Linked DNA regions of Macaca mulatta. The protein of the gene in region 4 purifies or fractionates together with the protein of the main gene of each other region. This does not show direct contact. Links are inferred from orthologs where the notes say so. Each region holds a gene or a part of one and is shown on either strand. Other genes may lie near its edges. The genes, in order: EIF3H, EIF4G1, EIF4G3 and EIF4A2.

Region 1 (4,167 bases), on a different chromosome or scaffold from region 4:
TCAAGTAAAATAATCCTTTAGCTGCTCTTATTATGATTGATTTTGGAGTCACTAGTAAGCTTCTGATTTTTTATCCGATTTCCAAGGTGCTTTGGTAATCAAAAAGGGTCTTTTTGGTGGTAGATATGAGCATTTTCACCACTGAAAAGGTATGTCTTCCACAGTAAATGAGTAAATCAACATTTACATGTATATAAACCAATCTCCTGTGAGAAGGATTAATCGGTTCCTTAGCATTAATCAATTCTGAGAGAGCTGATAAAAAAAAAAAAAAGCAATTTGTGAAACCACAAAATTGAGAACCAGTTTCTTAACCTTCCTAAGCCCACTGCCTATTTGTGAAACTTGAAGTGATCCAGTCCATCTCCACCTGCAGAGGTCTCTTTTTAATTCAACAATCCCTCTTAAAGCTGCCAGGACATTGTTATGGAAGTGCTTTTATCACTGCCCTATGTTAGACAGTATTTGGCGCTTAAAAGAATGTCCTAAAATATTTGCTGAATAAATGACCTCCAAATAGATTTATGCCACCGACCTGTTGCCTTTTTCAACTCTGGAAACTAAGTGATTCAAAGAGTACTGTTGTGACATAGCAAATTTAATAAGAAATATGTTTCTAAGAAATAAACATTTCCCAAGTGTATAAGTGGTATTTATTTTATTCTTTTTATTTTTTTATTTTTTTGGTTTTTGAGACGGAGTCTCACTCTGTCACCCAGGCTGGAGTGCAGTGGCGCGATCTCGGCTCACTACAAGCTCCGCCTCCCGGGTTCACGCCATTATCCTGCCTCAGCCTCCCAAGTAGCTGGGACTACGGGCGCCCGCCACCACGCCCGGCTAATTTTTTGTACTTTTAGTAGAGAAGGGGTTTCACCGTGTTAGCCAGGATAGTTTCCATCGCCTGACCTCGCAATCCACCCGCCTTGGCTTCCCAAAGTGCTGGGATTACAGGCGTGAGCCACCGCACCCGGCCAAGTGGCACTTATTTTAACAAGTGTAATCTAAGTTCACCCACTAACTTTAGAGATTTGCAGTCTCTAAAGACACGTCATTTATTCCTGAACACACATCTGCCTCCCATGAGCCAGGGAAAGCCAGAGTGCCAGTACACAGACCAAACAGTACGCCATTTTCTTTTCTGTTTTTTGTTTTTGTTTTTGTTTTTTGAGACGCAGTCTCGCTCTATTGCCCTGGCTGGAGTGCAGTGGCACAATCTCGGCTCACTGCAACCTCCGCCTCCCAGGTTCAAGTGATTCTCTTGCCTCAGCCTCCTGAGTAGCTGGGATAACAGGCGCTCGCCAGCATGCCCGGCTAATTTTTGTATTTTTAGTAGAGACGGGGTTTCACCATGTTGGTCAGGCTGGTCTCGAACTCCTGACCTCGTGATCCACCCGCCTCGGCCTCCCAAAGTGCTGGGATTACAGCCCTGAGCCACCGCGCCCGGTCTGCATTTTCAAAGTATTACACAAGTGGCATTTAGAACAAAACATTCCAAAGTTAATCTCTTGCCTGCATCTTTCAAACTCTGCTAACCACAGACATTAAACTCATAATAGTAACCATAACTAACATTAAATGATTACATTGTACTACAGGTCACCACATAATTTTTTTCATTTAATCCAAACAACTCTATGATATAGATACTTATCATTCCCACTTGACAGATGAGGAAAGCAAAGCTTGGAAAGGCTAACTTGCCTAAAGTCACAGAGCTGGTTAAAGTGGAAGAGCCTAGAAGACTGAATGAGCTCTTAATCACCAGGCTACACTTTGGTATCCAGTTTAACTAAGTCAGTTCAACTGATTCAGTTATACGCTGGGTTTAAATTATCAATAGTTTCCACTTAAAAATACCCCCTTGCAATTACAATTTTCACATGAATTTAAAAGTACTTCCTTATTACAAATATCTAAGATCTGCATTAATAGGAAATAACCTTTAAAAAACAATCAAAAGAAGAGAGGATGCTTTTTAAAAAGAGAGGCAGGAAGGATGCTTTTAAAACTAGAACGTCGTACAAATGCATTTTGCTTCGAAACAACAGAAATAAAATTTCTCATTCTAGATTTTCCTTTTGCCAGCTAAGTCCATTTCCTTATCCAGAATTTCCTTGGATGTCCTAGTTCACGAACCTTAACTACTAAACACATCTAAGGCCCTTCTCTTTGATATTCTTTTGTTTTTCAGAATGAACACTACAAAAGAGTCTATTTTAAATTATGCGGTTTCAGATAAAGCGCCGAAGTACAGGCTCAAAAGAGGGGCTACAAGGTACACCTCCACTTGGGAAGTTATAGATGTCAGATCCCAGCAGGAAAGCAGTGGAGTTTCCTTACTCTCTCCTTCCCAGAGCCCTACTAGGTCCCTAAATCCTACTCGACACCTTTGTTAGCTGCTTGTCTCCAGGAGTCTTTCTCCAAATCCCCCCACCGGGCATCTCGAAACAAGACCCCAGGAACCTGTCACTCACACCCCTATTCTCAGTCCCCTTCCTGAAGCCCCAACTGCCCCGTTAGAAGACAAAAGAAGGTTCTCGCCTCTCCTGAACAAAAAGTGAAGATGAAAGAGAAAAGTACTAGGGAAAAACTTTGGCCCAGCCACACCAAGCCCGGGGGAGAGAATGCTGAAAAGTACGGCTGGTGGGACGGGGTTGGGAACTGCGCTCCCCACGTGGGCCAGAGGAAACGGAACAGCACTCACGAGGCCATCTATCTGCACTTGCTTCACGGCTGAATCTCCGGAGCCGCCTTTGCCTTTACCTTTCCCTGCTCCGCCGGTGGTGGAGCTGGAAGAGGTGGCAGTAGAGCCGGTGCCTTCCTTGCGGGACGCCATCTTTCCAGGCTGACAGGAAGAAAGAGAAACGTGAGTTACCGGAAGCGGAAGTACAAGTCTCGCGTGACGTCACTCGCAGGCCGGCGTTCGAGGGGCGGAGATGGAAGGAGAAGCCAAAATTGGGCCCCGCCTCCCTCCTCTTCTCTAGTTTTACCTTATTTCCAGGCGTTATCCTTTGTGCATGCCTACTGTACATTTTCGACCTCTTTCCAATGGAATGATCTAAGATGAAAATAAACTTTTTAAATGTTTAATCATTCACCATTAGGCAAACGGTCATAATAGCATTACAGTTCACATTATTTCTGTAGTGTCTCTTATGTAAAAATGCTTTCATTTCTGATCTCGCAATGAAGTGCTGTACTAACTCGCATTATGCATATTAGAAAACTGAGGAGTGTTTTGTCCGACATTATTCTGTTAATTAGCGGTGAGCCAGTATTGGTCAACTTGTTTTATGTAATTTTAGATAGCTACTTGTAACCACTTAGATTATACAGAAATTAAGACATGGAAACTTTTATCAGAATTACCAGAAATAGTAGCCTTCTGCTATTAGTTTCATGTAGAGATTTACATGAGTAAAGTACCAAAGAAGTTATTTTAGGTATTGTTGAAGGATGATACAGAACATATTTTCTAAAAATCATGCTGATTTATGACACATTACTCTGAAATACACATCTCAAGTCCTTAAAAGAATATGTGACAACTGTAAGAAGCCATTTTAGATAAGTAATTTAAAACATTCTTTTCTACTTCCAGATGACTTTTTTCCTATCCCTTATTTTTGAAATGTTTATTCATTCAATCAGTATATATACAGAACTGATGAAATAGTTAAATCAGTAAACGACATATCCTGCCCTGAAGTTTTTTGTTGTTTTATCATTGGGATCTGGTGTTATATTTCAATCTGGGAGAAGAAATAATTACATGTTACAAATTCTTAACACTACAAAATGAAAAGTTAATATCCACTCATTTCGAGTGTATATGAAATATTTATCAAAATAGACTACATCCTAGGTCACAGAGAAAGTCCACAAATTTAGAGGTGCTAAAGGTTGATCCACATAGAACTACACTAGAATTTGGTAATAGAACATTAACAAAAAGAAAAAAAAGAAGAAAGAAAATCTCTCATGGAAGAACAGACTGGAGGTTTTTGCCTACCACTAGGTAGCTGGAATGATGAGCATTAGAAAACAGCTAGGCTACTTATGAACAATAACACATTTATTTATTGCTTTATCCTACAACATAGGATCCAGAGTTCATTAAAAAAAAAAAAAATACCCAAATGTCCAAGTTTCAATTAAAAATCTTTC
Region 2 (3,560 bases), about 85 Mb from region 4:
GGTACCAGAGAAGGATGACTTAGATTTCAGGTCGTGGGATTTTGAGGGTGAATTGGGTTTTGGATGAAAGTGGAAGTATAGCTTAGGTGGGAGATGATGACGTGGGAGTGTTAAGTTGGAAATACCTTGGCTGGAGGATGGGGAGGAACAACAGCAGTGAAGCACTTGCCTTTAGTTGCTCATTCTTCCTTCCTATGGTGCAGATGACCGGTCACAGGGAGCAATCATTGCTGACCGGCCAGGGCTGCCTGGCCCAGAGCACAGCCCTTCAGAATCCCAGCCTTCGTCACCTTCTCCGACCCCATCACCATCCCCAGTCTTGGAACCGGGGTCTGAGCCTAATCTCGCAGTCCTCTCTATTCCTGGGGACACTATGGCAACTATACAAATGTCTGTAGAAGAATCAACCCCCATCTCCCGTGAAACTGGGGAGCCATATCGCCTCTCTCCAGAACCCACTCCTCTCGCCGAACCCATACTGGAAGTAGAAGTGACACTTAGCAAACCGGTTCCAGAATCTGAATTCTCTTCCAGTCCTCTCCAGGCTTCCACTCCTCTGGCATCTCACACAGTGGAAATTCATGAGCCTAATGGCATGGTCCCATCTGAAGATCTGGAACCAGAGGTGGAGTCCAGCCCAGAGCTTGCTCTTCCACCAGCTTGCCCCTCCGAATCCCCTGTGCCCATTGCTCCAACTGCCCAACCTGAGGAACTGCTCAACGGAGCCCCCTCGCCACCAGCTGTGGACTTAAGCCCAGTCAGTGAGCCAGAGGAGCAGGCCAAGGAGGTGACAGCATCAGTGGCGCCCGCCACCATCCTCTCTGCCACTCCAGCTATGGCTCCTTCAGCTACTTCCCCCGCTCAGGAGGAGGAAATGGAAGAAGAAGAAGAAGAAGAGGAAGAAGGAGAAGCAGGAGAAGCTGAGAGTGAGAAGGGAGGAGAGGAACTGCTCCCCTCAGAGAGCACCCCTGTTCCAGCCAACTTGTCTCAGAATTTGGAGGCAGCAGCGGCCACTCAAGGTAAGGATTGGTTGGGCAGTAGAGGTAGGGTGGGCTAGGGGATGTGGTTCCTTGCCCTCCTTGATGACCTCCCGTTTTTGCCATGTTTCTGGGTCATAGAGGCCCTGCAATGGAATCTAAGAACTAGATTAAGGACTTTTAAGCCTGAAGACTGTGATGCAAAGGGGAAATATGTACTTTGGCTGCTTTTTATTTCCCAGGGATTAAGGGTACTCCTTAAATTATTGGCAAAGACCCATGCTTTTATTTATTTTTTAAAATTAGTGGCAGTATCTGTGCCAAAGAGGAGACGGAAAATTAAGGAGCTAAATAAGAAGGAGGCTGTTGGAGACCTTCTGGATGCCTTCAAGGAGGTAAGGGAGCAGAAAACGGAAGGGGAGAGGGCCAAGTTGAGGTATGGAACAGTGGTCATTGTGCAACCAAAACTGGTGTTCTGTTGTTCTAGGCAAACCCGGCAGTACCAGAGGTGGAAAATCAGCCTCCTGCAGGCAGCAATCCAGGCCCAGAGTCTGAGGGCAGTGGTGTGCCCCCACGTCCTGAGGAAGCAGATGAGACCTGGGACTCAAAGGAAGACAAAATTCACAATGCTGAGAACATCCAGCCCGGGGAACAGAAGTATGAATATAAGTCAGGTATGCTGAAGAAAGGGTTGAGAATGACTTGAGTTTTCTTATTAGGGCCAGAGAAGACAGTATGATTGCTTCATTCTCTTCCTCGCAGATCAGTGGAAGCCTCTAAATCTAGAGGAGAAAAAACGTTACGACCGTGAGTTCCTGCTTGGTTTTCAGTTCATCTTTGCCAGTATGCAGAAGCCAGAGGGATTGCCCCATATCAGTGATGTGGTGCTGGACAAGGTTAGTGGCTTGAGTCAGGGAGGGGACGATAAGTTTGTGCTGGATGGATTGGGGAGGAGCCTGAGGTCCTGAAAGAGTAGTCAACTGCTCTAGCCTGCTTCTAAGACCTTTTCCTGTCCTCTTTGCAGGCCAATAAAACACCACTGCGACCACTGGACCCCACTAGACTACAAGGCATAAATTATGGCCCAGACTTCACTCCATCCTTTGCCAACCTTGGCCGGCCAGCCCTTAGCACCCGTGGGCCCCCAAGGGGTGGGCCAGGTGGGGAGCTGCCCCGAGGGCCGGTGAGTGGGGCTGGGTAAAGGGGCAGGTGGGTAAGGAGTGGGAGTGGATGATTCCCCTGTGTCTCAGTGCTGACGGGGAGGGTTTTGCCCTGGAGGCGTGTAGTAGTGGTATCACATATTGTGCTGACTAGTTCCACGTCCCCTCTTGTCTTCATCTCTTGCTTAGCAGGCTGGCCTGGGACCCCGGCGCTCTCAGCAGGGCACCCGAAAAGAACCACGCAAGATCATTGCCACAGTGTTAATGACCGAAGATATAAAACTGAACAAAGCAGAGAAAGCCTGGAAACCCAGCAGCAAGCGGACGGCAGCTGATAAGGACCGAGGGGAAGAGGATGCTGATGGCAGCAAAACCCAGGTACTGGCGAGTCCTGCTTTTGGTCTCTCTCCATTTCTTTTCCATGTCTGCTGTCAGTGCCCTCTTTGCTGCTTTTTGTCCTTATCAGTAGCATCTGTCATGCCTAAGTCCCCACCACTCTCTCCTGTCCCTCTGAACAGCCTGTTCTGAGACCCTCACTGGAACTCTTGTCTCCTCTTCCTCCAGGACCTATTCCGCAGGGTGCGCTCCATCCTGAATAAGCTGACACCCCAGATGTTCCAGCAGCTGATGAAGCAAGTGACGCAGCTGGCCATTGACACCGAGGAACGCCTCAAAGGGGTCATTGACCTCATTTTTGAGAAGGCCATTTCAGAGCCCAACTTCTCTGTGGCCTATGCCAACATGTGCCGCTGCCTCATGGCGGTTAGTTTCCACTGGGTTCTAAATCTTATGGTCTAGTTGCCCATTTCTATTCCCAAGACTCCTTGAGTCCAGCTTCTTGGTTCTCCTCCAACTTGCACCTCTTCCAGCTGGAAGGAGGCACAGCTGGGGCCAGATATCTTCCTGGGTCAGGTAGTTAAAGGCTCTTGGAGGGCCTTCCCTGCCCAGTACTAGTCTGAGTGTGACATTCTCTCCGACCTGCAGCTGAAAGTGCCCACTACGGAAAAGCCAACAGTGACTGTAAACTTCCGAAAGCTGTTGTTGAATCGATGTCAGAAGGAGTTTGAGAAAGACAAAGATGATGATGAGGTTTTTGAGAAGAAGCAAAAAGAGATGGATGAAGCTGCTACGGTGAGAGAAAACCCACTACCGATTCCACTCCCCACTTAGCTCCTTCCCTCACCCAGATTCTACTCAACTGTAGAATTTGGAATGGAAATAGTGGTGTCTTGGGGATTTCTCTGGCTCAGAACTTTTTTTTTTCCTTTTTGAGACAGAGTCTCGCTCTGTCACCGAGGCTGGAGTGCAGTGGCGTGATCTTGGCTAGCCTCCACCTCCCGAGTTCAAGCGATTCTCCTGCCTCAGCCTCCCAAGTAGCTGGGATTACAGGCATGTGCCACCATACCTGGCTAATTTTTTTGCA
Region 3 (4,278 bases), on a different chromosome or scaffold from region 4:
GCCTATGTCTTAAGGCTCAATAAGTTAAAGATAACCTAATTGTCTAGCAGTATGTGACTATTAACTAATTAAAACAAAGTACAGTATCACTGTGTTCTAGATTACTCCACAGAACCTCATTTCTGTATACGGACCTTCCCCTGGCTCTCAAATAGAGGAGAGTATTCTTCCTCCCATTCCCACATACAGGCTTGGGGAGAAACAGCCAAGCATAGTAAAAAAGGCATTCATGGGCTTTGGAGTCAGTCATACCAGTCTGAATCACAGACCACCACTTACTAGGAGAACCCTGGAAACATTACTTCTCTGCACTTCAGTTTCCTCACCTATAAAATACGGACAATACCGACTACCTTATTAAAGTTCTCCTGGGAATTAAATAAAATCATGCATGTCTGGCTCCCAGGATAGTAGGAACTCAATAAATAAATACTATTATTAATTATTCAGATTTAGCTTTGGTAGACAGGCAAAAAAGAAGACAGAAAATGTTATTGGCTTCAGCCTGTAAGATAAAACTGAATATCAATACAGAAATTAAAAAGGAAAACTCTAATACCAAAATATTACAGGAATAGTGGTTTTTAATATATATGTCATATATGTATGACAAACTAGCTAAGAACATGAGGTATTTTCCGGCTGATGCAGGTCTTTCCCAAATTTAGCTCCTAGTAAGAACCCACCGCTTGATTTTCTTAACTATATTGGCTGCCCCAAAACAGTAACTAGACTCCCCAGAAGTGTCAGCAACCCTGAGAGAAATTACACCCTGAAGTCTTTCCATATAGAGAGAACATTGTGTATTCATAACAGACTGCAAAGTTGTACTTTTTAAGTCAGAACTACTTGGATACCTAAATTCAAACTCATTTATCTTGAATTATCTGAAGGGTGAGCAATTTCAATCTAAAGGGCTAGGCTTTTAAGAGGGGGGCCAAGAACTGCCCCCCCAAAAAAATGTAAGCAACAGTTTCTGTGTATGCACAGTTTTCTGTGGAAAGGGTCCCTATAGCTTTCATCAAAATGTCAAAGTTGTTTGTTACCCAGAAAAGGTTAAGAATCACTGTTAAGATTCTCCACAGAGCCTCTTGGAACCTCATACGGGAAAGTGAGGGTGAGCGTATCTCAAGGCAAATATTTTAAAGAGCTAATTTCATAACCTATAAACTTCATGCTGGATTATGTTATGAAAACCCTAAGCCTATTTCGCCATTCCTTTAGCACTTTTCATATCAGAGTTTTTCTTTTTCCAGCCTCTGCCATCCTGGCCTGCCCTCTGCCAGGCCCCCAACATCTGCTGCTTTTAAGCCAAAGGCCACTACTTGAAATGGCCTTATGGGCCCTGCCATGCAATACTGATTCCTACTTTTAAGCGTTTCGGTTTACATTCAAATCCGTTAATGTTAACACTTCTCCTCATTTCTGATTTGTCACTTGAACACTAAGTATAAATGAAGGACATAGTGCCATGCAAATCTTTCTAGCATTTTTACAAATTTAAAATACCGTCTGGCCAGGTGCAGTGGCTCACGCCTGTAACTCCAGCAGTTTGGGACGCTGATCACACCCTACAAAAAATTTCCTGGACGTGGTGGCACACAGCTGTAATCCCAGCTACTCAGGAGGCTGAGGCATGAGAATCCCTTGAACCCAGCAGGCATAGGTTGCAGTGAGCCGAGATCACACCACTGCACTCCAGCCTGGGCGACACAGCGAGACTCTGTCTCAAAAAATGAATAAATAAAACTGTCTGAACTTATTAATTCAATGCAAACACAACTATACTCACATACTTTGAGGGTCTGGAAATCTATTCAAGCCATGAAAAGTGCAACTCCAGCTATGCACTCCTGCCAAGATGCTTAAATGTTATCAACTTATTGAACAGTGACCACTTGCGTCAAATACAAATGCCCATACTCCCTCGGGATAGAAAAGCAGAACTGCTCTATTTCAATCCTTTTTTAATCAATACCCCATTACCAGTTGATAACACTTCACCACTGGTATGTTCTGATGAAATCTATAACCTATACTTCATTTACTGTTCATACAATAAAATGTTCTATTTTTAGCAATTGTAACCTTTCAGTGTGTAAAAGCAAACAGAAAATAATAAGAGCTGTGAAACACGTCAAGAGGAAGATTAATTTTAGCTTCAATGGCATGAGGCAAAGTAAAAACTTAAAGCCACATAAAAGTAAGTATTCCATTCAACTAAAATTGGTTTAAAATTATTTACACTGGAAATTACACTTAAATTTATCTCTTTAACAGCTGCTTTTTATTCAAAAGAAAATTAAGTTTCAGTTTTTAACTACTTGAATGTTGCAACCAACTCAGAGCTTTTATAAGTTCTTCGATGAAATGCACTGAGAAAAAGCATACTTGAAACACAGCTCTTTGTGTCCTAAAAAGCCACCAAATTCACCAAGCAGTGTCACATTCAGGACTGCGGTCCTTACTACTCTGTACATCAAGGACACCCACTATGGGTTTCCTTTCATTTCTGTTTAATTACCAAAACAACTCAAAGATGCAGGTAATGAGTAATTTACTTAGTGGCACAATTCAGAAACTTAAAAGTCCTAACCAAGTATAGGCAATCAAGGCAAAACATGAAATTAGAAAGGAATTTAAACTCACAAAGTAGTACGCAAAGACAGGTTTAAGAGATCCAACACTGAACTCTGCCTTGAAGTCGGCAAACCAGCCAACCTTCCCCAACCCCGGAGACACTGACCAAAACTAACCAGGTTTTCCACAAGCAACGCTAAGTTATCACTACACCTTCTCATCGCTGAACAATTCCTAATTGAACACAATCACGCAGGATAAAAACATTATGAAATCAGTACACACGTCACACTGGAAAGGAATTTATCTTTACACTGCACCATGGTGCCTGGATTGAAAAACATGAACTAGATTTAAAGAACAGAGAAAATGACACTTGGCAGAAAACAATGACCTGAAATGACTCTAGAAGGGAGACTGCTTTCCCTTCTCAAAGTAATCTATACAGACAAGAATCAAACTACAGACTGTGAAATAATCTGGGGACCTCACAGCAGTTAGCTTCTTACTTGCTCAAACATCCTACAATCTCTAAAAGTCAAATACACGATGACACAAATACAACAACACATCTAACATCCAATCATTATTGATTTACACAAATACAGTGGGTGCAGGGAGGAGGTGATGCATGATGAAATGTTATTCTCAGGTACGCAATACCTTTCTAAATCTCCGTGGAATTCATAAATTCAACGTTTTACCTTCACCGGTTAGTTTTTGACTAAAATACCCCATCACCAAGTCTTTTCAATCAAAGCTGTCCAAAATTCTACAATCGAGCAAATAACATGAAATTAGAAACATTCAATACTAGACTTTCCTCCAGAAGCCCTGGTAACTCTCTAGACATCATCAGGCCTATGAAGAGTAAATCAAAGCCCATTAAAAATATTCAGCCTAACGCAAATCTTCCAAGAAGTGAGACTTTTGTGAGTGATGGGTAATGTCAGTGAACTTCCTCTTCCTTTAAAAAGGTCAAAGACAGGGAAGCGTCCGGCGTCACATTTCCTCCTTAGATCTCGATCTACCACAAACCACATCACAACTCTCCCATTACTAAAAAAAACTATCCAGAGGAACTGCTTTCTGTACATTTTCACCTTAGACTGAAAATCCAACTTACCTCGGAAACGAGCTGATTAGTTTCAAACAAGAAATTTACCGATAAAGTTTATTATGTACTAATAATAATTAGGGAAGCCCATCGTGTCCCGCTGTAGGGGGAGCCGAGGGGAGGTGAGTAGAAGGGTGTAATCCTCACAACCACCAGAGAAAAGCCCTCCCTGCAGGGTTGGTCTCAGACACCAAGCAAATTCTGCCCAATAAAGAGGGGGAAGGCACCTTAGGGGAGAAGGGTCCCCAAGCTCTAAAAGGGGCTGCAGAAGCATGGCCAAGTGGAGCTAGCTTTCACAGTATTGCTGAGGGTCTCGGGGTCCCCCCGCAGTGCGGCTGCCGGGGCACCCCAAAAGCTCCGGCCAAGCCCGATGCAGGGGCTTGAGCCGCTGCCCCTTTCCAGGCTGGGCTGTGGCGGCCGACAGGAGGGTCCCCTGGGCTGCGATGACGAGAACCGAAGGGCCGACAGGAAGGTGAAAAGGATACTGTTGGGGCGCCTGGGTCTGGAGGGCCCTGATGTTCGGGTGAGGAGGGGGGGCCGCCGCCGCCGCCGCCGCTGCCGCCGCCGCCGCTGCCGCCGCT
Region 4 (4,288 bases):
TTTAGTATATTTTGGATGAGACAACAAGGATCTCTGACAAACATCATTCTCAGAAAATGTCTGGCATCACCTCAAATATGGCTTTCGAACATTACAGAGGAATGAATGAGGAGCAGTACCAATAGACTGAGGGCCAGGCCCACTTTGCCATTTTGGTATTCTTCATCTTTGTCCCAATTCCTGGCACGATAAGAATTTTCAAATGAATAAATAATTTTCGTATTAAAATAGTATTTAGAACCAAGTATCTTCAATAATACAGAAAATTGAGTCAGCTTTCCCAGTAATGATTCTTTAAGTTGGCCTTCTGAAATATGATAAAATGTTTCCAGATATTCTCGATGATATTTTGCACCATGGGTAGGGTTGTATTTTAAAGTTAAATGACTACATATATTGTTTTTTTGTTGCTGTGAAGGGACCTGAGATGGGGCTAATTGAAAACATCTGGAGCTTAAAGACTCGTGCAGTTTACGCAGCAAGGATATTATTGCTCTGAATTTCAATAAATCAACATTTCACTATATATCGGTAAAGCTCAAAGCCCTTAAAAAATGACCAATATAGACGGAATCAACACCGATGTAGTCCCAAAGCGGCACAGAGCTGTATCTGCCAAAGCGTCCATTTAAATTCGTGCGTTCCACGGAAAATTACTGCTCCTTAGCTTCTATCCATTTGCAAAAGTTTATGATTTTTTTCAGGCATTCCTCACACCTGTTAGGTTAAAATCATTAACACTCTTTTAAAAAGAAAGCGAGAGACCGGAAACGATATGAGAATAGAATTGGCTACTCCAGAGACATCTGCAAATGACACTCCATTTTTTTTTTCTCGCTGCAAAATGTACCGGTAAACCAAACTTTCCGGGACTCGCTGGGTGGCCGACATTTTCCCTAGCAGGAATTTTACGTTTCCAAGATCTGAATGGATGTTAATGGTCGGGCTAAATGCCAGGCAGGTCTTCACTGTCAAATTAAACAGCGGTGGGAGCAAGTGGAATAACCGAGTTCCCCTCCCGCACCTGAGCGCCGGCAGCGAGCCGCGAGTCGGGACCCCTCGCACGCGGGAAGACCCAGACGCCCAGCGGGCAGCGTCTCCGGCTTCCGCCTCCGGCTCCGGCTCCAGCTCCACTCCCCCGGCCCGCCTCTGCGTCAGGGACGCGGAAACCCCGTAGGAGCAGGGCGGGCGGGGAAAGTGGTGTTTGACTAACGCCGCAGCGATATTCTTCCGCCGCGAGGTAAAGAATCCCAACCCAACCCCGGGCCCTAGGATTTCCAGCGACCCTATAATATCGAGAAATTACCACATTTGGATTTTCCAACCGTCTTGCTTAGGATTTTATCCGACGTAACGACCCCAGGATCACAATTTTGTGGCTGACCGAAGCACGGCGAGAAAATTCCTCCGCAAGAAACGGGTTCCGGCCACGAGCCTATAAAAAACGGGTGGCGGGGCTCTGCTGTCTTTTCAGTCGGGCGCTGAGTGGTTTTTCGGATCATGTCTGGTGGCTCCGCGGATTATAACAGGTATGGCGCTCTGTTGGCGGTCGCGGTCTGTAGTGAAGGTCGTAGGGCGCCAGGAGAGATTATAGTGGATGGCATGGAGGCAAAAACTCCAACTTAGTGCACGTTTCCTTAGGGTACAGCACCCCTGTGCCCTTCCAGAAGCTTCCATGATGGGTAGGGCCCGGATTGTGGGGAGACAGGACGATGGTGCGAAAGCAGTGGCTAAAGGGCGTTTCTCCTCCCTAAGACATTACGGAATTTTGGCTGCTTCCCCTCCCAGTGTAGAGCACGGGAAACATGCAGTAAACAGCCGTGGCGCAGTCCGCGTTCGGTACAGTGTAACCAGGACCCGAAGCTTTATTTTTGGTCAACCACAGGAGTTGGGGGTCCTTGGCTTCAGTTGGGGAAGGGTTGGAGGCAGCGGTCTCCACTCGGCCACGGCGCGGAGGCGATGGGACCGGACCGGCACGGGTGCCGGCGAACCGTTGGCATCGCTCTCGCCAGGCCGCTCCGCCCGCGTCAATCACCCGGCTTGCGCATTGTTGGGGGCGGAGCTCGTCGCCCCGAGCTCTCGCGAGACGCTCCGCCGCCGAAACGGGATCCCCATGCGCTGGGGCCTGGGGGGCTGCCTTTCCGGACATCCGCGGCCCCCGACCTTTAGGGAAGGCGCGCAGTGTGATATTCGTCCTGCAGCTGCTGCTTTAACTTGTGCAGGGGAGGCTAATGTGCTGAGACGGGTTGCAAAGGGCTATCCCTTTAAGATGCAGTTAAGGTGGCTTGGAAGGGATGTCTGACTGCAGTATTCTTGTCAGCAGAGAACATGGCGGCCCAGAGGGAATGGACCCCGATGGTGTCATCGAGGTAAGAAACGGTTGTGGATGTTGAAGCTTTGAAAAGGTGAATGTGTTCATCTCACTCATGCGTGCATTATTTTTTCTAACTTACAGAGCAACTGGAATGAGATTGTTGATAACTTTGATGATATGAATTTAAAGGAGTCTCTTCTTCGTGGCATCTATGCTTACGGTTTTGAGAAGCCTTCCGCTATTCAGCAGAGAGCTATTATTCCCTGTATTAAAGGTAAAAGAAACTGAAATTTTTAGGAAATGACTTTATTCTACATAGTCATGGACCGTAAAAGGGAAAGTAACCTCTGGGGGACTAGCACCTGTTTGTATTCCTTAAAGTGAAATGATGGCAATCATCTTTCGGGACTGACCTGAAATGAAGAGAATACTCATTGCTGATCACTTATTATTTGGGCATAATTCATGTTCCAAATGGAATACATGGTGTAAAGTAGAAGTGACAATTTGGTGTGGGATCGGTAAATATGTATCCTACTTTTTTTAGGGTATGATGTGATTGCTCAAGCTCAGTCAGGTACTGGCAAGACAGCCACATTTGCTATTTCCATCCTGCAACAGTTGGAGATTGAGTTCAAGGAGACCCAAGCACTAGTATTGGCCCCCACCAGAGAACTGGCTCAACAGGTATTGATAGTGTAGTTCAAAAAAACTGCTTGCGTGTTGCATAGGTTTCAGGTTTCACAACTGTGAAGAATTTAAAACTTAGTATAAATTGGTCCTACCAGATCCTTCCTTTTAATTGTCCATGCATGCAGGGAGTTTTTGTTGAAAGCTTTAAAAGAACTGGGTATGCAGGTATGGTTTGTAGGGTTGTATACTAACAGATTGAGAATCCGAAACACTCTTGGATGTACTAGATCTGTCCCCATTTTTTAAGTTTGAATGCAGTTGTGCAACATGAAAACTGCAGTGACATGTTACCATTTGACTGTCTCCGTAGTTTGTGATGCATCTGTTGCATGCTATGTTTTCAAAGCTCACTGCTATGTTGGCTTTGAAGTAAACCTTCCTAATAAAGCTGGAGGCTTTATTGAGGTCAAGATTATATAAAGCACAATACCCTCTGGGGGAAAAAAATTATTTGCCCTAGCTGTAATTACAGAACATATATTTCACTATGTACTCCCTACACACAGTGAAGAATAATGTAGGAAATGTTATTCTTGAATTGTCTAGCTGATGCGTGGGGCAGCAGCATCCCAAGTTTGACAAGGCAGAAGAAAGACATTAAGGGAGTTTTACCTTGAAGCAGTTAGGTCAGTCTGCGTTTTAAGCTTGGAAGTAGTTTCGTGCTGTGCATGCATAAAAGCTGTTGGCAGACCAGTTTAAATTTGCCATTATGCTTTAAAAAGTAGTCATTGATCCTGGAGTTCTTCAGGATAATAATTAAGGCTTGGTTTTTAGATCCAAAAGGTAATTCTGGCACTTGGAGACTATATGGGAGCAACTTGTCATGCCTGCATTGGTGGAACAAATGTTCGAAATGAAATGCAAAAACTGCAGGCCGAAGCACCACATATTGTTGTTGGTACACCTGGGAGAGTTTTTGATATGTTAAACAGAAGATATCTTTGTAAGTATTGTCTTTAAAAGAGTTTTTTTTTTTTTTTTTTTTTTTTATTGTTACAGTTGAAAAGTCATATTACTGAGTAGATCTAGAAGTGACAGTATGACTTTGTTTCTAACAGCTCCAAAATGGATCAAAATGTTTGTTTTGGATGAAGCAGATGAAATGTTGAGCCGTGGGTTTAAGGATCAAATCTATGAGATTTTCCAAAAACTAAATACAAGTATTCAGGTAAGCATTACTTCACTCCCCTCTTAAAGGTACAGATGGGGTTTAATGCAGGTACTGTTACAATACAACTGACGTGTTTTATTGTCGTTCCCCCTGCTTAAAGCACTTGATGC

What was found.
Region 1: the proteins of EIF4A2 (region 4) and EIF3H purify together in Homo sapiens (affinity purification with mass spectrometry; 3 studies listed by BioGRID and IntAct, with this or other methods). This does not show direct contact. The link is inferred for Macaca mulatta from reciprocal best matches to the Homo sapiens genes EIF4A2 and EIF3H.
Region 2: the proteins of EIF4A2 (region 4) and EIF4G1 purify together in Homo sapiens (affinity purification with mass spectrometry; 6 studies listed by BioGRID and IntAct, with this or other methods). This does not show direct contact. The link is inferred for Macaca mulatta from reciprocal best matches to the Homo sapiens genes EIF4A2 and EIF4G1.
Region 3: the proteins of EIF4A2 (region 4) and EIF4G3 purify together in Homo sapiens (affinity purification with mass spectrometry; 3 studies listed by BioGRID and IntAct, with this or other methods). This does not show direct contact. The link is inferred for Macaca mulatta from reciprocal best matches to the Homo sapiens genes EIF4A2 and EIF4G3.

Annotation. Positions count from the first base shown.
Region 1 is NC_133413.1:127,140,315-127,144,481, forward strand, and holds the start of EIF3H (eukaryotic translation initiation factor 3 subunit H), read right to left. Parts: upstream 2,854-4,167; 5' UTR 2,837-2,853; coding exon 2,705-2,836; intron 1-2,704.
Region 2 is NC_133407.1:96,460,810-96,464,369, forward strand, and holds part of EIF4G1 (eukaryotic translation initiation factor 4 gamma 1), read left to right. Parts: intron 1-203; coding exon 204-1,019; intron 1,020-1,074; exon of another isoform or gene 1,075-1,153; intron 1,154-1,283; coding exon 1,284-1,372; intron 1,373-1,464; coding exon 1,465-1,651; intron 1,652-1,739; coding exon 1,740-1,873; intron 1,874-2,001; coding exon 2,002-2,160; intron 2,161-2,326; coding exon 2,327-2,515; intron 2,516-2,701; coding exon 2,702-2,899; intron 2,900-3,121; coding exon 3,122-3,268; intron 3,269-3,560.
Region 3 is NC_133406.1:219,772,896-219,777,173, reverse strand, and holds the start of EIF4G3 (eukaryotic translation initiation factor 4 gamma 3), read right to left. Parts: upstream 2,805-4,278; 5' UTR 2,802-2,804; coding exon 2,650-2,801; intron 1-2,649. UniProt on the Homo sapiens protein: Component of the protein complex eIF4F, which is involved in the recognition of the mRNA cap, ATP-dependent unwinding of 5'-terminal secondary structure and recruitment of mRNA to the ribosome. Functional homolog of EIF4G1.
Region 4 is NC_133407.1:11,828,728-11,833,015, reverse strand, and holds the start of EIF4A2 (eukaryotic initiation factor 4A-II), read left to right. Parts: upstream 1-1,479; 5' UTR 1,480-1,500; coding exon 1,501-1,529; intron 1,530-2,320; coding exon of another isoform or gene 2,321-2,323; coding exon 2,324-2,369; intron 2,370-2,455; coding exon 2,456-2,588; intron 2,589-2,692; exon of another isoform or gene 2,693-2,761; intron 2,762-2,861; coding exon 2,862-3,001; intron 3,002-3,781; coding exon 3,782-3,950; intron 3,951-4,065; coding exon 4,066-4,175; intron 4,176-4,220; exon of another isoform or gene 4,221-4,288. UniProt on the Homo sapiens protein: ATP-dependent RNA helicase which is a subunit of the eIF4F complex involved in cap recognition and is required for mRNA binding to ribosome.